Struthio camelus: one gene and its partner. The protein of the gene in region 1 interacts with the protein of each later gene in a pairwise test. Links are inferred from orthologs where the notes say so. Each region holds a gene or a part of one and is shown in the gene's direction. Other genes may lie near its edges. The genes, in order: YTHDC1 and TRA2B.

The links.
Region 2: the proteins of YTHDC1 (region 1) and TRA2B interact in binary tests that used the Homo sapiens proteins (3 or more experiments, as listed by UniProt). The link is inferred for Struthio camelus from reciprocal best matches to the Homo sapiens genes YTHDC1 and TRA2B.

Annotation. Positions count from the first base shown.
Region 1 is NC_090945.1:5,369,053-5,385,123, forward strand, and holds the start of YTHDC1 (YTH domain-containing protein 1), read left to right. Parts: upstream 1-8,700; 5' UTR 8,701-8,810; coding exon 8,811-8,838; intron 8,839-10,379; coding exon 10,380-10,469; intron 10,470-12,722; coding exon 12,723-12,824; intron 12,825-13,467; coding exon 13,468-13,796; intron 13,797-13,928; coding exon 13,929-14,283; intron 14,284-15,719; coding exon 15,720-15,809; intron 15,810-16,071. UniProt on the Homo sapiens protein: Regulator of alternative splicing that specifically recognizes and binds N6-methyladenosine (m6A)-containing RNAs.
Region 2 is NC_090950.1:3,142,581-3,157,819, reverse strand, and holds the start of TRA2B (transformer-2 protein homolog beta), read left to right. Parts: upstream 1-6,626; 5' UTR 6,627-6,828; coding exon 6,829-6,864; intron 6,865-14,280; coding exon 14,281-14,414; intron 14,415-15,239. UniProt on the Homo sapiens protein: Sequence-specific RNA-binding protein which participates in the control of pre-mRNA splicing. Can either activate or suppress exon inclusion. Acts additively with RBMX to promote exon 7 inclusion of the survival motor neuron SMN2.

The DNA of each region.
Region 1 (16,071 bases):
CATCAGAAATGATTAGATGAGGAGCTTGTGACCCCACGGTGCTGACAAACTGAGAAACCACAAAAACCCTGAAGATTAAATTAGACCTATGTATTATAAGTGACTCACCAGAATAATTGCCCAGCAAGCTATGCCTAAAAAAAAAAGAACACTCAGCATGCAATAATTTCTACACCTGGGTCAGGGGAGGTGAGCTGTACTTAGCTGAACTGCTTTTCAGCAGAGCTTGGCAGTGTCTTGTAGTGAGAGGCAGGTGGCAGAGGAAGAGCAAAAAGAGACACAGAGGACAAATGGCCATTCACAGTACAATTTGCAATGGGCTGCAGAAGCAAGTGAGTGCAACAAGAAAAGGATAAAGAACCAAATCTGAGAGTAAAGGACAAACTATTCTTCAGCTGCATTAACAAAGAGCCTTATAAAGAAGGTTAATGAGTAGGTGTTCCCAGCAAACAGCTCTGAGAAGCTGAGACATGTTCTTAAATTCTTCTGAAGCGAACCACTATTGCATCCATTCCCAAACATCTCCCATTTGTTCTGTTTTACAACCTGCTTCCACAATATCTTCTCTCCGAAAAAAAATGAAGAGACCAGTAGCTACGTAAGGCCCCTGCTGCTACCTTTGACATGTGCTGTCTTCCCTGCAAATCACTGTTTTTCAGCAAGGCTATCAAGCCTCACAGGAAGCCTTGCCACACCACTGGTTTCCAAGGATGATTCATTCCCCCTCCCTTTTTTTCTTTTTTTGGGGGGTGGGGGGGAGAGGGTGACATGTATAGTTGAGGGAAGCTTAAAGGCTCCAAGCACACAAAAGCACTTCAGCACATACTTGATTTAAAATATATTAGTTGAACTGATTTTAGAGGGACACATGCACAGGTCAAAGAGCTGCCTGAAATAAGAGGCACCTTTTCTGAATCTAATTCGCTGACATTCCCAAGATGAACAATTTCTTAGACCTTCAGCTTTTTCCATTCCATACGGAAACAAGCCTGCTACATGAGATCAAGGTTTCAGACCCAGTCCTGTCAATGCTTATTCTGATCACTTATACAGAATCTAATGTTTTCCTCCCTCTATTCCAACACTTCACTACTGAAGTTACTTCTTGATAATTTTAGTTTTCATTTCTTTAACGTTTACAGTGCAGCAAAGCAGCAAAATATGAACCCTATGGGTTCTAAAACTGGAATGCAATAAAAACACTATTACTTGTCCGCACTTAAAATAATTGTCCGACCTGTTCTTAAAAGTTTCAGTGACAAAGATCCTGAAACCTCTGCAAACAAGCAACTACTGGGGGTACATTAATTGTAGTTGATTATCCCTGTGGGAGAGGAATTAGATGATCCATCAACATGCTTTCAGACCTAGTTTCTATTGTTCTAGTGTTCATCTATGATATCTCATAACTTTGCAAGATGACTCAAGTTTCTAAGCATCCAGGGATGGAACACTGATCAGCGTTTGATGAACAAGCAAACCCAGTAGCCATCCAAAAAAAACATACAACAATTGAAATAGGGCACAAAGAATGAGCCAATTTAAACTCCAATCCTATGAAGCACAAGTATTTCAGTAGCCCTAGAAACAGAAGAGCACTGTGGTTTAAAAATAGGGTGTGATTCCAGATAACAGCAGTGATTCACCTGGAAGACAAGGTGAATACAAAAGCAAGAGACAAGTTAAAACCTGCATCGAAATGAGAACACAGAGCGTCATAGTCATTAACAGCTCCTTTGGTGCTGGTATGAAAGGTTAAGGACAGGGCAACCTGGCTTCCATGGGAACAAAACACAGGAAAAGCTATGTCTCTCACAGTAACAGAACCCCCCAGAAATGAAAGTGACTATTAGCAGTAACTCTACTGATAGTGATGCATATTGCAGTCATTGGCAAATAAGCACAGTGAATTCTTGTACCTTGGCTGAACATAGAACATAGATCTTAAGCCAGTGCAAATCAGCATAGCTTTGGTAATATAAACGTACAAATACCCAGTTACAACTGAGGGTCTGACTGTAATGACATGGGAAGCACAATATTGCTTCCCAAACATGGGAAGGAACAATATTGCAAATAACAGAATTTCCTGAGTGGGACACGCACACATGTCTCACACTGTCTGCTATCCATATGTTTCCATGCATGGAGCAAGACAATAACTGTTTATATAACTGCTAATGTCTATTATATCTTCACATAGCACCCCTTCTTAATGAACTACATAGCACTCTGTACCATTCTGGTGGGGTTCGTGCTTTTAGGTCAAGAGATACGTGTTACAACCTCTACCTAAACACGCATACAGACATGATTGATAAACACACTGCAGAACTATGAGATGCACTGCACTTTTTCTTAGCTGCTTCTCCTACCCTTTGGTCCCGCTCAACCAATACTGGTCTAACCACCCAAGCCCCCGAGCAGCTGCTACTTTGAACCTCTTTTCCTAAAAGCAACATCTATGCAGTAGGCATCTGCCAGTAAATCTCTATTATGCTCTGAAGGTCCTATGAAGTTTCTATGAAGAAACTATGAAGTTTCATAGAGTGGGTAGGAAAAGTGGCTACTGCCCCTGTTGATAGAGAGAGGCCAATATGCCCATGCCTCAATAGATAACAGAGATGCTGCAAGAGAAAGATAGAAAACTGGGTTTCACTTTTGTTAGGCTTCTCGGATAACTGCTTATGAAAGAGAACCCCAAACTTGCCAAGCACATGCTTCCTTCTTTCCATGAAGAAGGCTTCCCACCCACAGAACAACATTGTCCCAGCAATCACATTAAGTTTTAAAACAGACTTCAGATACTGAACAGCTCCTCACAGCTGGAAACTAAGCAGGAGACTTTCAGAACTGTCAGCATCCAGAAGCCCCCACTGCACTCAGCTCGAACTGCAACAGCTGAGCCTTCGGGAGAACGTGACCTTTACAATCTGGTACCCAAGCAGGAGCTCACAGGGCTGTCTCTTCTGCAATTCCAGCTTGAAAGTCTGCACTATTAGAAAGGAAAATTCCCGTATTTTTTTTTTTCCTGGGACAGGACAGAAGACAAACACACAGGCAGAAGGCAGCAGAACATGACATGTCTTCTCTCCATTATATCTTATCAACCAGCATCTGTCAGTCATGTATAGCTTTAAATTACATTGCTGTCAATGGGTGTGATTACTTATGATGTGCAGAGTTCTGGATACTCATTTTTATGACCAAAAAAAATTCCTTGGTTACTGTCAGGTGCTATACATCTATTTCAGGCTAAGTTAAGGTAGGGCTAGCTAGCTAATGATAGGGTCCATCACAGTACCATGTTTTGGGACACCTAGTCTTGTCAAGCCTGTTCTTTAACCCCCAACCTGACTGGCCTAGACAGTCTGCATCATATAGAATAATTGTTCATTTCTAGTGAGGTGACAACTAAGACAGCTGCACTTTTCAGCAACCATAAATCATGGCAGACAGAGGACAGGGAGTAGGGAATATCAAACACATCCCTCTCCTCTTCAGTGCAATGCAGCATACAAATTGAGCTCCAAGTATAGAGCACTTGAGCAATAAACAGCTAACTGTAACATGATCCAGCAAGGAGGATAAGCCCATCCTTAATTTCAAGTATCTGATGAGAACCTCACAGCTTCCATAAGACTCAAACAGGAGCTCTAACAGTTCTGTAAATACCCTGCTGAATTCAGGCCAAGCAAATGCAAATGTCATAATCAGATCTGAAAAAAGTACTTCAGGGATGACCTTAACCACAGCCTTACAGTATCCCTCTTCCCAGGGAAGCTGGCAGCACAAGGAACAAAAGCTTATCAATTAAAATATGTACTAGAACAAATCCTGCCATCTCCAGACATGACCTAGCTAGGCAAAGCAGCACTTCCATGTATGTCATCCAGCACAGGCCCTGCATTTCCTTTCTTCTAAAGATAACCATCGTTGACCACTGGAGCTCCTGCAGCAAAAGAAAAGACAACGGTTCACATTGGTCTGGGATCAAAACAGGCACCAAGTGTGACATGCTGCCACCTCCTGATTCAGTATGGGATTGATCTAGAGATACTCCGTCTGGCTGAACCATGGTGCAACTTGGCAGCGTATCTAAAAGCTCACTGCTGTTCCTGAAATGGGACAGCCTTTCCTCTGCGCTCATCTCACCTCTTGATAAGCCAATACAACTCACATTCCAGAAAAGTCATCCAGGAGAGAAAACTGAAACTGTTTTCTTTCAAATTAGCAATTTGAATCAGGAGTCGATGAGAACTGGGGGCAGCACAACTGAAAGCAAGGGGAGGGAGAGACAGAAGAGGGGGCTGCCCTATGCTGCAACAGGAAAACTCTCAATTGCCTCAACTACATCATCTAACCTTACTTTAAGGGATGGCAGAAGGCAACTGAGGGAAAAAGTCTTTTTACAGTGTGCGTGTTCAAACAGGGCACGAAGAGCTAAAACAAAGGATAAATCACAGTAACGACTGTCAAATGCAAATTCTTCAGATAGCTCCACAAGAGCAGCCTCATCGGACCATTCAACATACTCAGCTTTGCCCTACCTTGCTTGTCACCAGAGTCACTCGTCACTGACTATTCAGCTCTCCAGCATCAGACTGCATTGCAACAAGCACTTCCAAAAGCATTTTTGGATGTTTTTATTCAGAAAAAACTTAGCCCCCTCAAAACCCAGTGCCAGCAAACAGATATCATCCTTAACATTTCAGCCTGAGAATCACAGTACCCGGGGAGGAGAAGGAAGCCTCAAGGGAAGAAAACAGCACTGAATAAGGAACAAACAAAAACAACCAAGAACAACAACGGGGAACAGCAGCCAAACGCAGATCTTTTGGAAGATGGGCAAAAACGTCTTCTCCTCCAAGTACTTTCGTTTTCTTTAAGATTTTTTGCACCTTCTGCCATCAACTTAATTTAAAAAAAATGTTTTGGAGTAATGCTTTTAGAGCGTTTCCTGTTTACACAGTAATAATACCCTGAGCCAATAAACTCGGCAGCCTGAAGTACTTGGCCTTGGCATACACTTAGTCCAGAATACTGTAATTACCTTGTAAACAGGAAGCACACTACTGCCAGTGCACCCAGGCTGCTGCAGGAACAAAAGACACAGGAGCTGTACTTCCGCCCTAGCACCTCCCATAGCCTACTTAAGGCACAAAGCAGAAGCAAAGCTACGTAAAAATACCTTATGCCTATCTATGCCTGCAAGCCTCTGTCAACACTCTGTGCAGCTATGTCTAAAAATCAGAACTTTTCATTGCAAACATCATCTACGGGCAGACACAGCCAGAGTACTAGCTTTAGAAAGGCTTTTAGGCATAGTCAGAGTACAACTAGATATGGATGATACGTGTTATAACCTATACCTTACACTTGCAAGGTCGTAGTCAGATGACAAGGACCAGTGTGCATGCAATCATAAAAGGTATCAGGCTTTAGCAGAGCACTATACATGGTTACACTGTATAAATTTATCGGAAAAGCCATTCTCTGATAAAATTATAGCTCTCTTGCATGCAAAGACAGACAGCAGCCAGATCAGTGAAGATGCACATTCCAGGAACCAGCTACTTGCACAGCTCCCCACCAATTCACACCATAAAAGTCTGCCTTTCAAGAAGAATGGGAGAGGTAACAAGCCTTGTCCTCCAGTCTGGGAGACTAATTCTGAATCAATGGATTTATCCTTTTAACCTAGTTTAACCTAACTTAGATAAACCAACATACTTCACAAAGGTGATATCACCACCTCATCTTGGTGCTCCACAGTTTCAAGTTACATAGGCTGCGTTAGGCCCACAAAAAAGTCAATTACCAAAAGGTACCTCTTGAGTAGTCAGCAACAACCCCTCAGCCAATCCCTTGACAGAGAGAAGGCCTGACACCAAAGCAGGTCCAAAAGCACTTTCTTCTGCTTCTGCATTGGTTGGGAAAAAGCTTAGTTTTCACTCATCCAGATCTGTTCTCTCAAATCCATCCAGACTCTATCCTATTCATATTAATGGTCTGGACAAGAGTCAACAGAAACCCTAGCTTTAGTCACTTCTGATCAGTCTGTTAGCAACATTAGCTCCGCAGACAGATCACCGTTCCAGAGGAATCTCGTCTTTGACCCAGATACGATTATACTCAGTTATCCTAGACTTTCCTCAACAGTACTCACCTCTAAGCTACAGTCTTCAGAGAACACCCATCAGCAGTCGTTTGCATAAAAACACTGACAAATGAGCTAAGACTGTGATGTTAGAAAGACCTTATAAGCAATTTTAAGGACAGAAATTCCAAGCAGCACCTGGTTCTGAAGGGCATTCTGCCCACGCGAGGGAATTCTGAATTCCTTCTACCCGGGTTTGGGCAAAGTAATTTTCTGGTCCTTCAAATAAAAGGATGCCTATAAAACCTCTGACATAACAAGAGCTAGAAGGAAGCCCAGGGCCAAGCTTAGCACCCCTGCTCTCCCCCTCCCCTCCCAGCCATGTTGGGCTTTGCTACATTGCAATCTGTGTGGGAAGTCACAGTTAGCAGTAACTTGGCTGCACCCAAGAGTCTCCCTTACCATATGAGGTTTAAGCAAGAGCCTGTCGATAAGAGAATCACAGAATTGTTGAGGTTTGAAGGGACCTCTGGAAACGTCCCTAGTTCACTGGCTTATGAAGAGTCAGCTGCAATGCTCTTGGAAAAAGCTTCAGCAGCCATCCTCAGTTGCAGGCTTCTGTTTTGCTTCTCAAACATATTAAAGTGCTGGACCATTATTTGAACTGTCACTTCATGTCACACCTGATTTTGCTGAAACCTACCAGAAGGGGTAGGCTACACGTAAAACAGCTTTCTCCAAAGCTGTCTTGCTGATTTTCAGATTCAAAGAGAAGTACGCAGTCTGACATAAGCTGCAGCTTCTTGTGATGAAGTGCCCTTCCAGTTAACTCATGTCAACGGTACCATCTAGTGGCTTATATGCAGATACACACAATTTTGGGGGTCAGTACCTTTTTCAGCTCAGGTTCTATCAAAAGCAGTAAACAGAATACCTAGTAAAGCAATACCACAAGGCAATTTCAAGTAAAATTAGAGAACATAGACACTGCTCATGAATGCTGCATGCTAAATAACCCTGAGGCATGCACTCTGGTAGCTGAAAGGCCATTCCAACAGCTGCTTACCCAATTCACGTGATGGGTACATGCACACGAGAATTGTTTGTCTTTCACTACATCTTCAGGATGTGTCAGCAAAACTACTAGTGACAAGCACTGCATGTTTCACAAGATGCAATTCCAGAGAACATAAAGACCCATGGGGTGAGCAGGTGTTGAATCAGTCAGAGCCCCACAGGTGTAGTATTAATCTTTATTCAGATCCAGTATCAACTACAAAGCTGAAGAACACGTACTTTGCTATCTCTTTCAGTAAGCATCACAACCATCTCACCATTGTCCTCAGTCCACCTAACTAACTTCTATGACCTCTCTGCAGAAGTATTGCATTTTTCCAGTAGATGCTTTTATCCTATTTTAGGTTCTGCTTTGAAGCAAGATAGACAACAATGACCAATGCCCAAGGCACACCTTGCATTCTAGTCTTCATCACTAAAAAAAAGAAGATGTTTCCTCCCAATGTTTTAGGCTGGACTAATCAATAGCTACTGTTCTCAGCAGACGTTTTTACTAACCTGTCCACTTTATAAGAGCAGCCTGAGGATTACGAGGAAAAAAGTACTGCAACTGCTTTGTTTTGAAGGGAGCAAGTCTAAGGATTGAGTCGACTGGCTGCATCCATCAGACTAGCCTGCAAAATGCCTGCAGCCTTAAAACACGAATCTTCATTCAGTCAACAGCATCAGGCACCTTGCTATGCATCTTCTCTAGGTCAAAAAAGGCAGGCAGCACTTCTGCAGTGTGCTAGTTAACAGGATTTAAAACATCATAGTGCATAAAACAAGCTCTCACGTGACCATTTCAGGTTGCACACAGCCCTATCAAACTGCTTTAGGGCACTCAGTGTCCGGCCTCTTCAGAAACTGTCCAAAAGGTTACTAAGATGACACAGTAACAGTTGTGAGCTATGTTACTGCAGGTGAGCAGCACGCACTAACCACAGGTTACTTTAAAAAGCTACCTCACATTAATAAACACACCTGTTTCATATTTGAACAGAGACTTTCTAAAACAAGTTAAGCATTGCCGAGAGCAAGAAAAAACAACTCCCCTTGAGGGAAGGGGAGAAGGAAAAAAAACCCACAAAGCTGCTGCAAGCGCATCTGATGGGAACCAGAGCCATCCACACAGCTACAGGAAACCTGCAGAACAGCAGCCCCAAGCACTTCCCCAAGCCCGGGGGCGGAGGGGGGGGGGAAGGGAAGCCTCCCCTGCTCCCCACAGCTCCCTTTCCAACATACGAGGCCGTTAAGGGCCGCACTCAGGCGGCGGCCCACCGACTCCAACAGCCGCCGCCTCAGAACGCAACGACACGCGCCCTAACACCCCCCCCCCCCCCAGCCCTCCCCGCGCAGCGACGCGCATGCGCGACGTGTGCGCCTCGGCACGCTCTTATGGGCGCGCGCCCCGCCCCCTCGCTCCCTCCTCCCCCCCCCCCCCCGTGCGGCACGTCTCTCTTCGACCTCCTCCCTCACCCCGGCCGGAGTGCGGCACTGCGCGTGCGCCGCCGGGCGAATTTCCCGTCCTTTCCGCCCATCGTCCTGTGACGCGCAGAGCGTAAACAAAGCGGTGCATTGTGGGAAGGGGGAATCGTTCCGCGCAGGAAGAGCGATCCTCCATCTTAGGCGCTCGACGCGTCGCGGCGGCGGGATGGCGGCGGACAGTCGGGAGGAGAAAGGTACCCGGCATTAGGGCTGGGGGCGGTGGCAGGGCCCTGGTGAGGGGAAACGGCTCGGGTGGGGGAGGCACCACATCGCCCGAGCCCCCTTTCCTTTTCCGAGGCCTACTCGGTTGCTGGTGCTGGGCCTTCGCCCTGGGGGGCGTCTGCGAGGAGAGTTGAGAGGTAGCGGGGGTTGGAGGCGCCATGTGGGGGCGGTTTCGACAACTGTTAGACGTCCCGGGGCCCCTCGGCACCCAGAGGGGTGCTGCGTGTGGTGAAACGCTTCCCGGGCGCGCTGAGGTGCTGGGGCTGTCGCACCGTAATGCGGTGCCCGGCGGCGGCGGGCTGAGGGCAAGGTGACTCGAGCAGCGGGGACAAGAATAAGTTTACTGCTTATACATGTTTCAGTATAAGCTGTCGATTGCTACTGGTTATCTTCCAACAGAAAGTATCAGCTTTGTTTTATTTCTTCTCTGATGGCTAGCCATCCTTTTTTAATAGGATTTTCCATGAAGGAATATGGGCTATAATTTTGCAATTGGAAGCTTAAATTGCACTTTTTTGTGATATTTTCTGCTTTATTTTACTGTCTTGTGCAGAGTCAGTTATGCTTACTGGGCACTGTGGGTAAATATACTTGAAATGAAAGTTGACCGTTTCCAGGGTAACGTATATTCAGAACACTGCTAATTTTCATGGTATGCAGAATCTGACATGATGCATATGCTTTCTATGACAAACTGATTTCTATAAATTAGCCTTCACTAAATTCATTTGTTAAAAAATGAAAGCATCGTTTAACTGTGGAAGATTGCTGTTAGGTGGTTAGCATAAATAATAGCAATGTAACCTATTATAGAATAAAAGTAAAGGATCGCTGATTACTCTCTTTTGGATTTCCATGGGATGCATTTCATGGAAGATTTTTTGTAGGATAGATGCAGCAAAATGTCTTTTGTTCAAAGCGGTGAAAGTTTGCTATGTCTAATATTCCTTGCGAAAGTAGATCATGTCAGAAATTCCCGTTTTATTTTGTTAGTGCTAATGAGTAAAATTATTTCTGATTTTTTGAATCTTAGCATTAGCAACTTGGCATTTAAGAACTGTGAGGCATGCTATGACTAGGTTCTGTTCAATTAGGCTAGAGCTTCCATTGGAGAAGAGCAGTGAAAATGAAATATTTACTATTGCCTTCTGTAAATTCATTTTCATATTACGATTTATCCAGGTTAGCTTGGATTTTCTTATTTTGTCTTGTTTTTTTAATTATTGATAATGGCTGAGATATGAGTAGCAACCGAAAAACATTTTTATGTTTCGCATTTTAATCTGTTTTTAATTTTCTCCCCTATGGGAGGCCTATGATTATTACTTATTTGCAGCTGTTAATGCACATTCATTTGTAACTGAACTTGTCTTCACTGTAAATGTGATGTTGTTTCTTTGCTCCTTCCAAAAGAGAAATGCTATTTCACTGCTTTGGGAAACTGGAAATAAATCTCGCTTATCCTTTCTGCTTTAAGTCGCCTGATCTTATACCCTTTCTTTTGCCAACTCAGATGCTTGTTTGGACCCTTCCTTGAGCAGATTTAACTCTCATGGCCAGCAGAGAAAAAAACCTTCCCTGGGTTACTTTTTTGCTGTTTCAGGTGAGTTAAAATTGTTCACGGAAGAGTCCAACACACCCTGGAGTCAACACAAGATGTGTTGCAGGAGGGCACAGTTGGGATTGTCTGTTGTGAAATGGAAGAGGTACCCCTTTGGACCTTCCCCTCTAGCAGTCATGAACTGAGAAATCTGTCCCTCTGCCCCTTTTGTGCTCCTCCTTTTGTGGTTTTCCTGATTGCCCTCTCTGAGCCAATTTATCTTGCTAATCAGGTTGAGCGCTAACAGTGACAGTTCAGTTAGTGGAATTATCTCACAGAAGTTAGTTGAGAAGAAGAGCTGGGGCAAGGGAGAGAAGAGAACCATGTGGTCAGACTGCCTTTTTTTGTTTAAGGTTCCAACTATAAATCAGGCCCCTCTAACCCTGAAGGGATTCTTCACAGAGGCTATGTCAGACTTGCTTCCTCCATTAAATTTTCATTACCTTCTCATTTATTTCTGGACCAGCTGCTACCTCAATCTCTTAACACCTCTGAATGCTACTGCAGTAGTTAAGGTAAATGTAGTTTGCTCAAGTGTACTGTTGCCTCCTCAGAAGTGGAACAACCCTGAGGTTCAATGTTTGTGGTCTGATATGGATGATATATTGAATATTCTGAGCCTAGTACACCTCTTTTTCATTGGTCTCCAGTAGTAAAATCTTATTTGTAAACTTGCCTAGTCTTCTATGGGGAAGCACAATTTAAGCCATGGAATTGCAGCAGATATTTAGCAATTGTAATAGCCAGATTCCGGGCTGTACATCTCTCATCAACAGCAGCAGAAGTATTTGCTGGGGATATAGGTGTCAACAAATGTGAATATTTGCTCCCAAGAGAATGATGATGTAGCTTCATGTTATATTTAAACGTCCTCTAATGGCAAGCTGCCAGTGAAAGGCTCAGACTACCTTTCTGCACCGCTTCCTTTGCATTAGGTGCAGTAACTGTGCAGTTTTACGACAACTTCTACGTTCCTCTGCCACGGATCATCTGGGAAATGCGAGCAGGGAAGCTAGCACACTGTGTTGAACTCAGATGCAGGCATATATAGCAGAGATAAAATGATAATATTTTTCCCAATGGAATGGGAGAATTGTGTCTTTGTTGTGGCACAGTTTAAGATATTGAGATAGTCAAGTTGCCAAACCTTGGAGGATTTTGTTTGCTGCTTTACCTGTGATTTCATCCAGCATGGAAGTCCTTACGTGCTGCTTCATAATGTTGCACAATGTGTCTTTAACAGATGTCGTCAACTAGCTGAATCCTTGGAGTTTGCTCTCCTTTCCCTGAAATGAGTAAACGCAGAAAGTATAATCGCTGATAGTAAAATAGAGTGAAAGAGCTAAGAATTCCAGAGTTTAGAAGTCATATGAAATTCTGAAATTAATGCCTTTTCTATTATTTATCCCTTTGCATGTTCATGCTTAGTCCGTTCTCACTTTGAAAGTGCCTGGAATATAGATCTGCAGTCTTATATCTGATGAAACCCTCATCTACCAGAATCACTATATATTCCCATGGGTTTCAATCAAAGTGAAGCACAGTTGGAAACAATGACAACTTTAAAGAGTTGTGTGACCAAGAGTGGTCATTCAACTTCTCTAGCATTAATTTCCTTAAACTTGTGATGCCTTTTGGTCAGGGTGAATTGATTTTAGTTTTCCTTCAGAGCAGTTCAGAATTAATTGTGCAGCAAATACGTGCTGCTTTCTACCTCTTCACTGGAGCACCATGGCTTATGATCTTATTATCTTCCTTTGCCCTGCTGGGTTTTCTGTCCTTGTAGGTGAACCACAAAATTCCCCTTTCTAATACAGCAACAACAATAAAATAGCAAGGGAGAAAGGGAAATAGTTTGAGGTGTAAGTCCCCTTCCTCAGGATTTTGAGGACAGAGGTGCCTCTTCTGTTTATGGCATTTGGGCTACCTCCCACTTTCCTTTTTGTCTAATTTTGTACAGTTTTTTTTTTCAAGCCATTCATTTGTAGGTCAACTGTTCTTCAAAGCTTGCGTGACACGAGTAGCCAGCTCAGACCTTATTTGGAGGCCTAAGGGTATCCTGTAACATATTTTACTACTGTTATTGGCTTTGATTGATCCTTTTCGTTGTGAACAAAATCAAGAAGATTTTAATTTCGCAGTATGGCAGGTGCATAAACTTAAGGGAAAATTTCTGGTCTGTTAATACTAGTTATACTGTAGGTTGCATCTTCAGACTGTTAATAGCGTTTTTTAACTTAAGTATTTTGGTTTCAGATGGTGAACTCAATGTTCTGGATGACATTTTGACTGATGCTCCTGACCAAGATGATGAGTTATATAACCCCGATAGTGAGCAAGATAAAAGTGAGAAAAAGGGTAGGTGACTTTGGAGGTCCTACAGGAAAGTAGGCAGTAAAAACATCTGTATTAACAGGATTAAAGTCTTTGAAGTAACAGCTCTTAACAGCCTGTATCACAGAAGTAAAGAGTTCCAAAGATCAGTCTTGCGTGGGCATCTGCTTTCTCATCTGACACTTTGAACAGATGTTTAATTTGGTTTCCTTTTGTCTCAGAAGGAGTTGCTGAGTTTGGCTTTTTGTGAGTGTATTTGCTGCTAGAAAAATCACTGTACTTCTCGGTTCAATGAAGTGAAACATAAAAGGAGCAAGAGGATTTCAAAGTCTGGTCCTGCTCAGTTGGTAATTTGGCTTTAGGACAATTCCTTAAGCATTGGAATTAATGTTCCCCGTATATTAAATCTAGAAAGTGTTAAAGCCTATGAAAGCCTGAAAAATTGATTGCTATTTTTAAATTGTATATATTTTCAGAATATCGACTGTTCCTAATGAGCAGTTTGGGGTATCACTGTAGAAAAAACATACTAAGGTGAAGCTTAAAACTGGAAGATGCTACCTATGACTTTGGGAGAATTATCAGTCTAGAGAAACTAGGGATTTCTGCACAGTTTCCAGTTTGATACACAAAATAACATTGAACTTGATATCTCTTTTTATTTAAGGATCAAAAAGAAAAAGTGACAGGATGGAAAATGCTGAAAGCAAAAGACAAAAACCTTCTGTGCATTCTTCAAGGCAAATGGTGCCAAAGCCACCTAGTTCATCAGTTAGCAATAACAAGAGAATAGTGAGTACGAAAGGAAAGCCAGTATCAGAATACAAGAATGAGGAATATCAGAGGCCTGATAGAAACAAGCGTCCAGATGGTGATCGAAAGATGCGCATGTCAAGCAGTTCCAGGGAACCTTATAAAGGACAACCAGAAAAAACTTGCATGCGGAAGAGGGATATTGACAGAAGGGCAAAGTCTTCCACACCAGATGGTTCAGAGGTAGTAAATGTTCTTGCTGCCTTATAAATAAAACAGTTATATGAGACTTTTATAAGGCACATTCTCTTAGGACTGTGTGTGCATCCTGACAATGTTTTATGACTGCTGATTCACTTTTTTTTTAAACATCAGAGAATCAGGCATGATATGGATAGACGACCAAGCAGATCCAGCCATTCTTCCAAAGAAGAGGTGAATTCTGAAGAGTATTGCTCAGATCATGAGACTGGCAGTAGTGGCTCTTCTGAACAAGGCAATACAGAGAACGAGGAGGAAGGAATGGAGGAAGAGGAAGATGATGAAGGGGAGGAGGATGAAGATGTGGAAGAAGATGGGGAGGAGGACGAAGAAGAGTATGAACAGGATGAGCGAGATCAGAAGGAAGGAAATGACTATGACACGCGAAGTGAAGCCAGTGATTCTGATTCTGAATCCGCATCATTCACAGATGGGTCAGTCAGATCTGGTTCCGGTTCGGATGCATCGGGTAGGTAACTTTTGGCATGCCAATTTGAAATACTTCACCACTAAAAGTTTGGTTGCTTTTACAAATACCACTTCAGGACCAACGTCAAAACTAACTCCTGGAAGCACAAGTAGGATGTAAAACGAAATATCAGTAGGCAAAGGAGAATTATACTAGAAAGTAGCATCCTTTTACACCAAGACTTGTGGATTTCAGGACTTCCATGCTGAAGAAACGTAGTGCTCAATTGCTTCTACTTTGCTGTTTAATACTTTCAAATGTTAGAGTTAATGTTTCCTTATGCATCTCATGGCTTAGTTTCCTATGCAATGAATTCACTTGAAGCTGATGGTGAGTTTTTCTGCATTCATGTAGATGAATGGTCAGGTAGAGTGGTGTGAGACATAGTACTAGCTCCCTGAAGAAGGGATTATATTAAATAGTTGAGTCTTAATACTGGCTGCCTTCAGCATCAGAAGTCAAAATCTAGGTTGAAACGATTAGCTGTTAAGACAGGCTTAAAACCAAAAAATGCTTTAAGCAGAAACGAGAAACGGTTGCTTTGCAGTTGTCTGTTATAACATTTCGTTCTGTAAGTCAGGATCAGTTAATGTCACAAATACGGCGTTGTTCAGAAAATTTCAGGTTCATGGCAAACCCCTTTTTTCTGCATGATAGCTCAAATTTTTCCACCTAGTTCTCTTTGTATAAGTAGACATAAAGAGTTTGGATTAAGTGAGTCTTGAAAAAGGTGATCTCTGTAATATAAGTGGGACACACTGGAGAGTTTGTGACATAGTTTTATTTGATAAGAAAAAGGCTTACAGCCTTGTTAAGATTTGTCTTGCATAGCTTCCTTGTCTGAAGTCTGCATATGTGGTCCTCTTGTATAACTTAACCCCAGTCTTTTGGCTAAGCTCTGCTGTCTGGAAATAGAGAACAGGAAGGTGTAGTTTAAGACAAGTGAAGCAATAATAATTATTCTTGAAAGGTCTGCATAAAATTTTAACTCTTTTGAGAGTGGAAATAATTGCCTATGTGCCACAGTGGTTAGTTTTCATAGCTCTTGCCATTTTACTGAGCTTTGGGCAAACAAGAGGCAGTATCACTATCACAACACAGCTGGTGCTGTGCGTGTTGCAAATTTGGCTAAAGGCTGGAGAGGAGAACGAGAACACCCTTGCTTTAAACACCTCGTAAATGAATTCTAACCTTTGCATGGAATTTTTAGATGTTTGTCTTCCTTTCGTGCATGAAAATTTGGAGTATTGTTTTCTTCTTTTGTGCATGGTATTCTGGGAGGAGCGTTATGGAGAGCAACCAGGATTTTCATGTGCAAGCCAAATGCTAACTTCCTCGTTACAGATATTATTTGCCTGTCTCAGTACTTTTTATCTGATTTTTGTCTGCCACTTGATCTTTACGATACCGCTGTTGTTTGTTTTGGGGGCTTTTAGATGAGAAAAAGAAGGAGAGGAAGAGAGCTAGAGGTATCTCTCCAATTGTTTTTGACAGAAGTGGAAGTTCTGCCTCAGAATCCTATGCAGGTATTCTTTCCTTTTATGGCTTGTTGTCCTGACTTGCATCAAATCTTATTGTGTAAACTAAAGTAAATGTAGCTGGCTGTAGAAATTTATGGGGTGTGTAGCTTGGTAAAATTTGGTATTGACTTCTGGCATGTTGTGCGTGGATACCTTTGGGGGGAAGTAGGCTTTCTTGTTACTTTAATGCTATTCTGTTGCTTAAGTGGAATTTTCACTTTTTTTTGTTTTAAACTTGGAAGATGATGATTCAGTGACTAGTTTTCTG
Region 2 (15,239 bases), on another chromosome or scaffold:
ACGGAGAAAAAAGGTGTATGTGTTACTCTGTAGAGATGCATTTGCAAGGTTCATCATGGCTGCCATGTTTTATGAAAAAATAATTCAAGTACATAATCAACGATGACTATTTAGTGGTGCTACGCTGCCCTCAAGTGGACTTTTTAGAAACGTCCCAATTTTCAATGCCAGCATGTACAAAGCTAATTCTTTTATACTCTTGGGCATTTGCTCTAAGAAAGACCCTTGCAACCACAGTGACTTTTTAAAAAACTCTTCCATAATAAAACTCAAACTTTGAAAGGTGGATTTATTTTAATTGATCGAGAAAGACAGGAGGTTGCCTCACAAACTTCAAGTAAGTGCCATCTCCAGCCTATGGCAAAATTTGGCATCTTGCAAAGCAGAGATGATAGCAGCTCCTCATTTGTGCATAGCCGCCACTCATATTCGGATTGCCACATCTCTTGGACCTCAACTGGACGCTATTCAGTGTCATGGTGCTTCTGATACTGGCTCTGCCAGGCTTTTCATTTCTTCCTCCTGGTGTGGGAATATTACAAAATACAGTTTCTGTCTATGTGTGTATGAATTAAATTTAAAGGCAGCCAGCCTGTCAGGAAGTGTTCCTAGGGCTGACTTGATGCTCTTGTATGCTGCCTGTTTTAATTCGCATCTATGACTGCAAAAATGTCAGTAGTCTTTAAATCCTTGAATGGCTTTTGAAGGTGAGCATACACAGACAGCCCAACACCAGAATCTTGTATAAACCCTTTGGCCAAGCACCTATCGTCTGCATTCCTCTCACATCTACAGACTTGGTTGTGGTCCTATAGTGCATATTTCCCAAAATGTAAATGCTGTGGCTTGGTGTTTTCCTAACCTGTTCAGTGGATACATTAGGGTAAGTACATTCCCCAGTACAACTGCCCAGCGCTCACAGTGCACAGAATGGTGCATGGACAAAGCAGTGCAAGTACAATGTAAACGTTAAAGGAACCAAGGGAGACAAGCCAAAGCGATGTTGGTAGTATTAATCAATGCCACAGCCACTTTCTGAGTGACATGCTGTAGTGAAGGGAAGAAGCTGTTTGCTCTACTTTGCATTGATTGATGTTGAAAAATTTGAGCAAAAATAGGTGAGGAAGACAGAAGTGTGAGGTCCTTGTCATGTGGTCCTCTAACAATGTCAAATCAGTTGCTCTGAATATGAGTGATGAGTAAAACCGTTTCTAGCAACACTGGCCATTTTCATGGCTCTCGCCATGAAAGCAAATCAAGGCATAAAGTAATTTGCAGGTTCTGTGCTCTGATCAAGAGTTTAATGATGGCCCTGAAGCTCCCGGCATCTTTCCTTATGAGCAGGTCAACAGGCGCAGTGCTGAAATGTTTGTCTGGGCAACATAGTTCTGTCAAGTTCTCATGAGGAATCAAAGATGAGGGATGAAGGTCTGTGACATCTCTGTCCAACTCTCTGCGACCTTTAGTATTGCAACCGCGTGAACAGATAGCAGACTCTGTGTTAAAATTGCCGAAGAGAAGAACAAGGTCTTACACTGGCATCTCATGGGACTTCTCTTTCCTCCTTGAATTGTTACTCGTGTCCTACAGAAATGGTATGTGCCTTCCCACACACATTGGCCTATCTCAGCCCTGTCTCCAGTTGAGGTCACGGCAAATATTACGGAGCTCTGAAGGGGTCACTTGTCAGGCTCTATACCTCTGCCTTGCCCTCTCCCAACGATATTTGATCCCACAGGATAGAGCGTCTTCCAAGCCCAGGTGGTCACCAGCTAGTGCAGCCCAAAGAAAGGACCTCATCAAAAAAAAATGACCAGATACTAAGTAGAGCTAAGGCTGCTGGATGGGGAAATAGGACAGCAGGGTCAGGGTTAAATAGAAGGCTGGGAGGGCCTAGCTGTGGCTCCGCTGTGTCAATACTTGCTCTTCAGCACCATCTGAGAACTGGGATTTGTAAACCCTCATTGGTTTGGTCTGCATTTTTTTCCATCCTTTCCCTTCTCATGGTCACAGCAGGGAGGAGGGTTTGCAAGTAGAAGTACCCAGCCAAAAGAGTTGCGATCGGGGGTCACTGTGTGAGTGAGGAGCCAAAGCAGAGAGGCAAGGGAAGGGACCAAAGGCCTTACAGGCAACCTGTGGTAGAGCAGGGAACGCAGTCTGCAATGAAGACATTTGCTAGGAAACTGGTCTGAAGCAGAAGGGGAGGAATAGGCCTGCTGCTGACCAGATAGGTTGTGAGCAGGTAGAGAGGGGGCAGAATTCATCCTAGAGACCATGTGTGAGGCTCCTCTGTCATGGAGGATTTTACATCACAGTGAGGTAGGTGGTATTAGCCTCGTTAAATGCCTAGTCAAAAGCATACAGCAGTAAAGCTGTAGGCAAAAATGTTTTCACTACAAAGTAAAAGGTAGTGGGGCATAGACCCAGCCCTTTAGTCCCCTCAGAAACCTCCCATACGCCTTTCAGTCCCTCCTGGAGACGTCTGTGTGTTTTTCAGCATGTCCCAGAGCTCTACATTTGTCCCCCAGTCCCCTCAAAGATCTATGGTCTACTTTTCAGTGCACGCCTAAACCCTCCTTTGCCTTTCATTGTCCACAGGACTCCTACGCGTTTCACTGCAGCCCAGAGCCCTCTCTTTCCCTTTTGGTGGGCCCTGGGGCTGGCTATTTCCCCCTGTGTGGGGGGCTGCTCTGTCATGGAGAGTTTATCACTGCACCAAGGTAGGTGGTATTAGCCTTGTAAATGTCTAGCATAAAACTGTAGTTAAAATTGTTTTCGCTATGAAGTAAAAAGTTTAGTTAGAAGCCTGGCATAGAGGCAGCGCTGCTCTGCAGGGCCTGTAACGCCTGGTACAGTGGCAACTGCAGACACTCCCTTCGTGTGCCCTTCCCTGGTTTGCCGGGGTCCCCATCGGAGGCAACCTGTGCTGGCTTCACTACCACTAAACAGGAGCAGGGGGATGTTTGGCCCTGTGGTACAGATGGGTGCTCAGTGCTGGTGCCCAGATCAGGGCTGAGCAGACCAACCTCGGCATGGCTCGCATGCCCTTACTGGACAGGAATGTGCTGCCCTTGGCACACAGAGGGAACTCCTCCTGAACACTGGGGCCTTTCTCTGCCTCCAGCCACAACATGGAGAGGATGTTCCAGCATGGCCAGGGCTGAACCAGAACAAAGGCTAGTACTTGGCACCCATCATGGGGTACTGTCCCTCCACGCCACACAGCAAAAATCTAGTGGGGCTTCTTTGTCCCACACAACTCACTTAAGCTCTGTGGAGTAGTCAGGTCCTGTCCAGCAACCTCTCTGGTTGGGCCTTGTCTTCCCCACCACGCCCCCCTCTAGCAGACATTCAGGTTGGGTCCTTGCCCCCGCTGACCGCTTCTGCACTTAAAGCCTCAGACTTGTACATGAAGACTTTTTAAGTGAAAGGCTTCAAGTGTAGAAGTGGGCATGATCACCCTGCAGAGCATGAGTTGTGTGGAGACAAGACAGCTCCTCAGGACATAGTTTCTCGAGTGATCACTTCCTTGCCTCCCCCCTACCCAGAGAGAAGAGCAGCGAGGGCTTGGACTTTCAGTGAATCTGTGGTTGCCCCTGTCTTCCAAGCTGCCCTGCTTCCTTTAGACCTTCCCTGAGTAAATGCCTTCTACCATCCCTTTAATGGAAATAGTTAGTAAGGTATTGAATTTGACAAGCCAAGGCTGGGGGCAAGGGGTGAGGCATCCTTCTGAAAGCTGTTATCAGGGATTAAATAAACCAGGGATTGGACAAACCAAATGTCTCTTTGTGTCAGTTGTGGAAAGCTCCAATTTTTATTTCCAGGAGCAAAACCAAGCCAGCATGGGGCTACCACACACAATTTCCACTCAGCTCTTTCTGTGGCACAGCTTCACAGTGACGACTGCAAGAAACAGGGCAAGCCAGCAAACGCAGGCGCGCTTCCTTCTGCAGCTGCTTTTTGAGGGTAAGTGAAGATGGCAGAATCTAATTCCTGCTCATTCAGATAGCGTTGCTGGAAACCAAAATCACTTGTCACTTAATATTTCCAGCTCCAGCTGGAGTCTCAAATGGTGGCCCCAACCAGTTGGGAGAAGGGTGAGCAAGAAGCAAAATACCAGTTATTCCACATCAACAAGGAGCTAGCAAAGTTTAGCTTTGGTCACTTGCCACTTTGAGGCACTTATCCAACACTTCCTCCCACTCCTGGATCTTCCCTTGGTCCTAGTATTGGCAGGGCTGTGCTCCTCACTGGGTGCTTCTCATTGCAGGGATACAGTATTGGCCTGCACTGAAAAAAAAACCCTCATGAATAAATGGGAACAAAATGGTGTCAGCCACAATCCCCAGGCCACCCTTCCACCCCCAACCACAAGGAAGGCTCGGTGAGGGATGAAATCACTTTGTCCCCTGCCTTCCCCCCTCAGTTCCACCACCCCATCAGACTAGCAATGCCTTTGCCTGAGCCACTCTCTCCAATTCTGGAGGCAGAAGTATGTGACTACTAGCCCTCCCTGCAGTTCAACACCCTCCTGGCAGCTATTGCTAGCCAGGCTGTAAACACAGCTCTGTTGGGAATCACAATTCTGAGCCAACAGAGACTAGTTGCTGAAAAACACTGCTGTGTGGACAGGATTCAAGGACTGTTCTGCCCCACACCAGCCAAGCTGAACTGAGCCAGCATTTTATTTACTGACATTGCATTGTTGGCAGGGAATTTCAGACTCAGTTGCATTGATACTCTCGACAGCATGGCAAGGACGATGGTACAAATCAGAGCAAATATAAAAGGCCGGTCACAAAGTGAACATCTGCATCTTCTTTAAGCCTAAAGCCATGGCCAGTGTCTCAAGGCAGCACATCAAGGAAAGAGAAGGGAGCAGGCACAGAAAGCCCAGCTGGGAGGTATTTTTCCCAAAGTGGCCTGCCAGATATCCATATGCCCAGAAAGAATTTCCAGTGAAAGAGGATTGCTGGGGAAACCCAGGCATGACAGAAGTCTATGCCTCCATTACCTCTCTCTCAAATGAAGAGACCTCTTTTTCCTTCTGGAATGCATCCATGAATCATTTTTGTCTCCTTTTCTGAACCCTTCCAAGTCGTTCCTTCTGCTTGAAATGGGGTGACCACAACTGCATCTGGTGTTTGTAATAAGAGTACAATGGCAACATGATAGTTTCCACTTCACGTCCTCTTCCCTTTCTACAACTCCTATCAGCCATTGGGCCTTTTTGACGAGCTCTAAAGACACTGTTTCTGGCAACTCCAAGATATTGCTACTGAATGGAAATGGCTAGTTAAGAGCCCTTGTCGTGCAAGTGTAACCTGGGGGGAAAAAAAAAGCCTACATGCATTGCATCCCAGTTATCAACTGTATTTCACATGCTCTTGTATCACGCAGTCACTCAGGGTTATTGTTGCTGTTGTTTCTCAGCTTCGCTTTCAACTAACCTGAATAATATTCCACCACCCACAGATTTATTGCCCCACAGTAATCTCTCTTCCATATCATTTATGAAGATGCTGAATAGCACAGGTCACAGGAGAAAAAATCTCCTACCATTGAGAAAAAATTATAATTTATTCCCATATCTTGCCTCCAATCTTTTCACCATAAGATTAACTCAGAAAAATTAATGAGTGCCTCCCTCTGATCCTTTGCCAAATTTATTGTCTTCAAGAATCTTCAGTGAAGGATTTCTTGAAAAGCCAAATATAGTACAATGAACCAGCCTCACTGGATATATAACAACATGCTGTGCATTAAAACCAGTTACAGACATTACACATTCTCATAAGCATTTCGTAGATGAACCCTGTCCTTATCAGTTATATCAGCCTTCCTTGTAGAAAATTGTTACCCAATGTGCTTAGGTGGAGTCCTTAGGAGTGGGTAAGAAGGTTTGCTTTAGTCTGTGTACTGCCAATGCCACTATTAAAAAATGAAAAATTAGGCCTCAAGAAGCAAAAGATGAAAACCAGAATCCAATCCACTGAGTTGTGTGCGTCTAAAGCATACAGTCTGGGAAAACTCCTAGCTTAAAGACAGAAGGGAAGAAAAAAAGTCATGGTTTGCTTGAATGGTTTGTTCTTCAGTCCCACAGAGTCATATGTGCTCGATTTTTCAATTTGAATTGCATCAGCTTCCACTGCTGGCTGCTGTTACATTTTTCTCTCAGAAGCTGAAGAGCCCCAGTTTTGCCTCTGTTAAGATGTATTTTCCAAAGAAAACACGTTACCTCATGGTCCAGAAGGCTCTACACGCCCACCCCCCTCATCATCCCTCACTTAGCACCCAACTTAATAAGCAACAGCTTTACCTTTACTGACCATTTATGAAGTAACACTGGGTCTAACACTGGTTCCTGATGAAAATCTTTACTTTTCCCTGATTTGGTGACACCTGCTCACCGAAAATTATTTTGTCAGCCAATTTTTACCCACGGCAGCCCTCGCTGCTGCTGTGCGTGTGGGGGGGGGGGCCTTTCCCACGAACCGACTGCACCTTCGGCGAGCCCGCTCGGTGTTTTAGCTGGAGGGGGCTGTACGCGACAAGGCCGCGCGGCCCGGCACTAACTGACCTCCCCCCCGCCCCTCCCCCCGCCCCGCTGAGGGGGCACGCGCGCAACTCGCGCTCCTCCTCCTCCTCCCCCCACCTCCTCCCGCGCTCGGGCCGAGCGCGAGGCGTAGGGCGCGTGCGTCGCGGCGCGCTGCCAGGGGCGGGGCCTGGCGCGCGCGCGCGGCGTGCGTCACTTCCTTTGCGGACAGGGCTGGCGCCGGGGACGGTCGGGTCGGTGCAGCGGTCGCTGGGAGCCTGTGAGGAGGGACGATGAGCGACAGCGGGGAGCAGAACTACGGCGAGCGGGTAATACACGGAGCCTGAGTGCGCAGCCCGGCCGGGCCTCGCGCCGCCCTTCTGCCGGCGGCGCGGCCGCTCCCGGTGTCCCCGTTCCGCGGCCCTGGGTGGAGAGGGCAGTTGATCCGCTGAGGGAGGGGTCGCCGCTGCGCGGCCTGTGAGGAAGCCTCGGCGCAGGGTGCGGGAAGGCCCAGCGGGCCTGGGGTTTGGCGCGGGAAAATGGCCGCCGGCCCGGTGTGAAAGGAAATGGGGGCGCGCGGCGAGGACGCTCTAGCTGCCCGCCCGCCCGCTCCATGGTGAGTCTTCCCGACGCCATCTTGGGCTGGTGACCAGGCGCTCCGGGAGAGGGACAAAATGGCCGAGAGCGGTCGAGTTGCGCGTCCTGGGACCCGCGGCCGGCAGCGCGGAGGCTAGGCTATCTCTCGGCCCGGCGCGGCTGCCGTGCCACGAGCGCGGTCGGGCTCTGGGACCTGCCGCTCCCCGCGAGGCCCGTGAGGGAGCAGAGCCCCTGGCTGCTTCCCGTGTCCTGATGGTGGGGCCGGGCGGCCGCCGCCGTTTTTTAAGGCGGCTCTGCCAGGCGGGGGTGAGGGGAGAAAGCAGCCTGCCCCCGCTTCGTTCTCCCACCCATGTGCTCCTGATCGCCTCCCGCCAAGCTGTTGGCCCACGTCCGCTCCCGCCGGCCCTGTTTAGGTCTGCGGACGTGTGATCGGGGGCGTCGGGAGCGCCTCTGAGCTCGCTGTGGGGTGAGAGTAGGCTGCGCTGCGGCTGCCTCGGCTGGTGGTGTGGTGACGGTCCATAGTTCTGCTGTCTTTGTAGCCTGTGTCATGCATCCCTTAGCCTTGTTACTTAGCACCAGAATAGAAAGGGACAATGCGAAAAGGTAGTAGTTCTGTCTTTCATTGTACTCTCTCCAAAACCGCACTGCAATTCGCTTTTAGTGCATTACTTCATAAGCTCAACTCTGACTTGCTGTGCTTTGTGCTTGCTTGTAAAATACTGTTTTTGCTTGTTGATGGAGTTGCAGCTTTGCATCCGGGTGGCTTGGTCTCTAACTTAAAGGTGACTGCAGTAGCCAGACATTAAACCTCAAACCATCAACTCTCATAGTGCTAAGGCAGGATTCTCTATGCTTGCATTGTGAAACTTGCAGTATGGTAGAAGATATTTTTAAACTAGTTACTGCAAAACATTATTGGCTGGGTGAGATTTAATTTGAAGTTGCAGATCACTTGTGACAGTTTGTGTTACAGATTAATCTGTACTTCAAAAGTATGTGTAGTTGGGTTTGGTTGGGAAGGGTGGGATTTTTGTGTTTTTGGTGGGAGGGGGAAACAGCATTGTTTTCCTTTGAGGTCTTTTGCTGCCACAGATGAGTGCAATACAGGAATCAATATTGCATTTTGTTTTATTTTCAGCGTACTCCGCTAAGCTATCGCAGCATCCAAGGGAGGAGTTTAGGTGATGGCTAGTTTATATTTTACACTTTCCTTGGAGGTTTCAAAAAAAACTTGTTCAGAGAATTTAATAACACTAGGCAGGAAATGGTATTTTTGCAATGCCTCTCTTTGGTTAATATGGGGTTTTCTTATTCAGATTCACTCTAATAAGCATTATTAGTATGTCAACGTTACTTCTTCCAGATAGGTTAGAAAGATCTGGTCTCCTCTCCTGAAAGCTAAAAACGGTAGATGATTTTGAACACTGAAAAACAGGGACTAAAGAGTAGTAGATTTATACGCCCCTTCCTCCCAGCATTGTTTTTCATTAATGTTTTCATATTATTACAACCAGTGGATTTTCTACAAAGGAGTATTACTTCTGACTTGTTCAAGATGGATTACTGCATGTTAGTTAAATGAGAGCTCTAATTACTACCATACAAGTCAGATTGAAAACCAATTTAAGATAATAGCCTAATTTTAGTGCAGTTTGTCAGGGTAACCTACATCTTTGTTTAGCATGAATGGAAATATTTAAAATAGTTGTTGTAAAGTCTTTGAAACAATTATGCAGGGTGTGATAGAACAGCAGTTGCTCTGCTGTTGTGCTTTCTTCCCTGTGCCCGTTTCTCTGTTTTATCTTTTCTGAATCTCTTAAAAAAATAAATCATGTTCAGGCAGTCTCCACAATGAAGGCTTAGGATGAGTTATCTCCCATTAGAGCTTGCTCAGAGAAATGTTATTTCTGTATAACTGAACTTTTGTGACTCGTGCATAGGTAAGTCCTACGCAATATACATGCTTGTAAAAGTGAAAAGTACAATCATTTAGCTACAAGCCTGCTATTGTAGACTAGATCAGGCAGTGGCTTTTCTAATGCTGTACCAGTGTTACTTACGGATATCTGTTGCTTGCTTAGGCTTTTATTTTACCCAGTCAGTGGCTTTCTAGTTCTTCAAGCTGGACTCTGAAGTCTCTACTTCAGAGTAGGAATGGTATTTGGATAAATAATCTAGGATATGGCTTTACAGCTGGCTGTTAAACTGTTCCAAGCCTATGCTGCCAACAAGAATTACGCTCCTGAAATTCTGTTCCTGCTCCTTCCCTTCTGCCAGTGAAGTGGTGTAGTCAGTCAGATCTGGGAATTGAATCAGCTGAAATTAATATTCTGAATCAATTTCCAGCTGCATTGATTCACAGACTTGACTGATTGTATAGCCACGTGAGCCTTAGTGTCAGTGGAGAAGAAATAACCAAGTGCTGGTGGAAGTAGTGGGACTTGGTGTCTCGTTGGCAACTGAACCTTAAATTGGCTTATGTCATGACTTAAACTAATAATAATGATATTGATTCCCCCTCAAATTGTTTCGTGCAGCTTACACTTCATAGTGATTTTAAACTCTGAAAACGTTTTTAAATTGAAGAGATAATAAATGATTAAATGCTGCCAGTATTTCAGATATTTGACTTCTGACAGCACGCAGTGAGACAGATTGCCACTTTCTTCCGAGTCACTTTTATTCATTTGTGGAAACTTGTTCAATCCTGAGATACGGTTGTAATTTGTGCACAGAAGGCTTGGAAAGAAAGCTGGTTAGGAAAAGTCTTGCTTTCTTTATTCCCTGAATATTTGGAACCTCCAAATAGTGAGTCTCCTGTGAGTTAGCTAATCCTGACAATGATTATTTGGTATGTGTCTGATCAGGGAAAAAAACGTTTAATCTGATAGCCAGATTTCTTTTTTTACAGTCAAAGTACCTTGAATGGTTGTAGATCACTTAAAAGGTAAAGTCAGCATTTTTGAGAATATTATATCATCTCTTAGAACTTCTTCCATAATTTATTTCTAAGGAAGCAGTTTGAGATGGTCAGAAACAATCTAATAGCTTGCTGCCACCAAAGTATGGGTATTCTCCTTTTTCTTCCTTCACCATCTGTCACTTGATCTGACCTCTTGGTAAGCTGATTGAATACCCCAAGCTGTCAGAAAATCACTTGCTTTTTGTTGTTGGATTACTTTCCTCCTAGCTTAGTGTACTGAATCAGCTGAGGTCAGAGTGAATGGCAGACATAGCGGAAGGAAGCTGGTTTTGGTGCTGTTGAGCTCAGCTTTTCAAACCACATTCTCTATTTTTTGATGCCATTTGGAAGCTGTTACATAAACTGAAGTATTTAGGCATTGATTTGAAATTTTTGGAAAGAAAATGCTACATCTCTGAGTTCAGCTTATATTAGTACTGTTTATTATTTTGTTAGAGCCAATTTATAAGGTCTTGGAAGTAAAACACTAGAAGTGAGCGGGTTCTGTAAGGTATTCAGACTGCTTTCCCTCTTGATAGTGGATTCTCGGCCCCCAGCAGCGATCTGGTGATGGGGTGGCTTCAGGGTGAGTCAGAATCAGCTTACCAAGGCCCTGGAAACCAAATGTGGGAATCGAGATAGAAGCAGTTATTTCTCTGGATTCAGCAGTAGAGAAGTTGGAGTGTGCAGTTAGCACAATTACACCTTTAATAGATCTGCAGTTAGATTTGATGAAACAATGTGAGGCTGTACCTTTAGGAAAGCAAGTGAAAATACCTAAGTTTAAAAGATTTAGGATAGATAACATTAAAATTTTGTTTGGCTATATTTTAAGTTGTTAAATAACTGAAATCTATTGCCTGTTATAGTTAATTGCTATATTTAATTGCTATAAGGAAAAACTGGGTTTTGGAAGTACAAAAAGCACATGATCCTAGCTTACATCCATTATAGCTGCTTCTGTCAATGGAATTTTTCTTAACCTGCTGTCCCCAGGATGATCTTGCTCTTGTGACACTCTGTGCTCAGAGGAGATGAATGTAACGCATCTTTATGAATGTGCTTAGAGGTGTTTTAAAAACAAAAAACTCCAGAATTACACGTTGTTTGAATATGCTTGAAGCATGTTTGAGGAATAATTCAGAAACCATAACTTAAGCTCTTCCACTTGAATTACGGTAATACATGATAAAGAGGAAGTAGATAGGATTTGTAGGTACTGATCAAGTGACCTGGTGATTCTTAAAATCTGCAGTTCAGAAATTCAAGGTTAGAAGAAATGGTTATTTTGGAATCAATATTTGTAGTGGTTATTTGGAGATCTGGAAGCGTTTAAAATTTGAATGTGAACACAGCTTGATCTGCTTACCTGCAATGCTTAAATGTAGGTAGGAGGAAGAAATTAGCTTTTTCCTCTATCTCTGTTCTTCCATGTGTCATGAGCAAGGAGCTAACTTCACCTTATTTAACAAGGTAAAAACTCATTAAGTGAAAGGTAGAGAGAAGAACGTTGTAAAGTTTGGAGGTCTGCTGGCTAGTGATATTTGAAAAGCTCTAATTTAGGTAGGGAAGATTTCCTTTGGCAAGGAGGGATAATAGCTTTTCAATTCTAGAGGTTATTACCAGTTTTAGTAATACCATGAAGAGATGAGGTGCAATTAATTCCTCTGAGGCTTGCAACAAGAAAGAAGTGACATAACTCTGAAAAAAGAAAAAAAGAAAAAGAAAAGTGAAGTTGAAGGTTTGGAAGTTGATACTCCAGGGGAAAAAATGTGTAGGTTTAAAAATTGCTTATTTTCATGCAGCTTCTTTGGACTTCACAACATTTTGCCAATTGCCTAGTTTTAGGATGTGGTTATCATGCAGTTGTCTTCTCAGATGCGAAGTGTCCACTTCCACATTTACATTAACATAAGATAGCAAAGATCATCCTAAAAAGTGTATCAAATAGATGAAAGCTTAGGTTATTTGCTTATTCTAGAGCCACTCCTATAATGATTTCTTCAAAGCCTAGTATCTCTAAAAACTAGATTATTGTGGGGGGAGGGACCAGCTTTGGAGTATGCTTCTGGGCAAGGTGGTTCTTCCTGCTACTTCCTTCCCGCTCCCAAAGCATCATTCATTTCTTGTGTTTTCTTCAATATTAGATCTTCTGTCTCTGGACCTTATTTTACTCCTTCTCTTTAGACTGAATCTGTCAAGAGTGTAATGTTTTGGGAATTAAGTATTTTTCTCAAATATAGAACAGCCTTAGGTTTGGCTTCAAATCTTGCTTTATATAAAGTCTGAAAATATTTTGAAAACTTTTTGTGGCTAAATTTAAAAAAAAAAAAACCTAGGGATGAGTTCCGAATTAAGTCTCATGTGTTAATGTAGTAATGAGCTTAGGTTAAATTTGCTATTTGTGACTTAAATTAGTTTTCAGTACTTGCACTAACCTTTGCAGGTGTAGTAAATGAGGTGTTTATAATGTAATGGCGCTGATTGCACATTTTGGCAAAGAATATGGCCAAGACCAAATTTGTTTTGTTTCTGTGGTGCTCAGTTGAAAATCTGCTTTGTGCTGCAAGCTCCTCCTTCTCCCCCAAGCGTGTGTGGTAGGCAATTGTAAATAGCTAGACTTTGTTCTGAGTGGTATAGAAGTGGCTTAAGCAAAACTAAAGTTTGATTTAGCAAATGGATTTTTAAATGTTTGATACTTAAATTGCTACTAGTGAGAATTTCAAGAGAAGTTGAGTGTTGAAATTTCAAGAGACATTACATAGGTAAAACAAGTAGTTTTGGACAAATTCTGGTACTCTGTCTTTATTGAGCATTGTCAAGACTTGACCTATGATTTAGAATTTGGTCTCTTTCTAAAAAAAGTATGTCCAAATAGGTGAGATTTCTGCTGAATTTTAAATTTCCTCTAATATCTTGAAGCAAATTCCTTCTGGTGTGTTCAAACTAAAAGTTGAAGCCATGTGATTGAGTTTAAGCATTGTATTGATTAAAAATACAAAAATTGAAAAGGATAATTAGGTTATGTCATTACTGAAATAAATTACAAGTAAATAATAAAGGAGATGGGATACTTTTCCAGTATTTGTGTTTTGCACAGAATCGTATTTTCAGTCTGTGGAAAATCATAATTTAATTGGAAGTATGAACCCTGCATGTGTAATCACACTTGTATAGGCGAAATAGATGTGGGTTTTAAAACTAGGCCTTCTAAACTGTGAGAACGTCCCAAAACAGTAACACAATCATAAGTCAGTGTGCTTTCTGCATTGAAAAAGCACATCAGTTAGTCTCTGACCATAGTAGGAACTTATTTTACTTAAGTCATTTCTTGTTGATTTTTTGTCTTAAGTATGTGGCTGATGAAGAACAAAACACTTGAATTTCTTAGATGATGAGTAAGTCTTCAGTTGGTCCGTTGTGCACTTGATATTAAATGTAGGCATAAATAGTGAATTCAGTTACTTTAGTACTAAGTTAAATTGAATTGACTGAATCTGTTTATAAAATAGTAGGAGAGTCGGTAGATTCAATTCTTGAACTGCATATATAGTTGAAGTCCACAAAACTTTTTTTTTTCTAGTTTCAGTTTTGGCACTAGATTTTATCCTGGAGTTTTTAAATATTCTTCATCCTGTTCTTTTTCTATTAAGGTTAATGTTGAAGAAGGAAAATGCGGAAGTCGCCATTTGACAAGTTTTATAAATGAGAATTATTTGAAGCTCAGGAATAAGTGAAGCTGAAATTTGAAAAAAAAGAAAGTGAATGCATGCTAATTATCAGACCAGAAGTCCCACTTATAGAATATTGAGCAATTTGTGTGAAGTGGGGAAGATGAAAGAAGTCAGAATTTGAAACGGAAGAATGAAGAAAAGGAATAAAAATGAAGTTAAGATAAGAAGTAATCTGGAATCTGAAAGCACTACGCTAAGTAATTACTAGTCTGTTTATGTGTCCCTGTATATTTTGCTAAACATGCATGCATTATCTGTTTAATAGCAAAACTATATGCAGGGTAAAGAAGTGTCTACCAGGGAAAAACTTCTTAAAAATCTAGGCAGTTCTAATTCCAACTGCCCGGACACATAGATATGAATTTTTACCATTTATTTCACTGGAGCTTGTTTACAGACTTCAGGTAAACCAGAAATTGTGTGCAAATTAGGCTTTCAATATCTGCGTGCAGGAATCCCGTTCTGCTTCCAGAAGCGGAAGTGCTCATGGGTCTGGCAAGTCGGGGAGGCACACTCCTGCAAGATCTCGATCTAAGGAGGACTCGAGGCGTTCCAGGTCAAAATCTAGATCCAGGTCTGAATCCAGGTGAGTTTACTTCTTTTACCTCTTCCTCCTCTTCACAAGTCAGATGTCTTTGGATTATTGTGGCAGAGATGAACTGAAGTCTAAATTAGCCCTTTCTGTTGTCAAAGGTAACTGGTGATCTGTGCCCATTGAATGCAAAGGGGCGTGTGTGGTTTCTGTATTTGAAAAGCTGAATCATCAAGTTAGGTCGCCTTCTTGAGGACTTTCTTTGAGAAGTAGTGTGCTATGTAGGCTTGCATCTTTACTGAAGTAGTTTGTAGGATACCTGCCATTTAAGTTTAAGCCTTAAAGTAATGACTGGTTTCTTTGGGTGTGAAGTGCTCTTGATTTTTTGCTTGTCTGCGCATTAAAAGAAAGCGCATCCACAGATTTTCCTTCATAGGTCACAGTACAATAAAAAACCCTTAACATTAAGCAATCATGTTTTCAAAGCAGTAGCTGATTTATGTCTACTGCTTCTTTTTTGGCAGAAATGTGTGATTTGCAACAGATCGTTCTTGCCTTTAAAATATATATTCATCTGAAAATTAATAGACTGAAAACCTGTAAAAATTAGAGAGCTTTCCTAGCTCTGAAAGTTGTGGAGAAAGTAGCTTTTTTATTTGTTACGTGGCAACACAAATGGACACTCTGAAAATGCATTTTTGATTGTATTAACGATCCTTCTGTTTATCTGCCAAATAAGCTATACATACAGAATTCCTCTTGAAACTGTTAAGGAACTTCTCACTGAGAAATAAACTATGCTCATAGTCTAAAAATAAGATAGTCAACAAATGTCATTGTGCTAGCTACTTAACATTGAATTTACTAGATGTGTCCTCT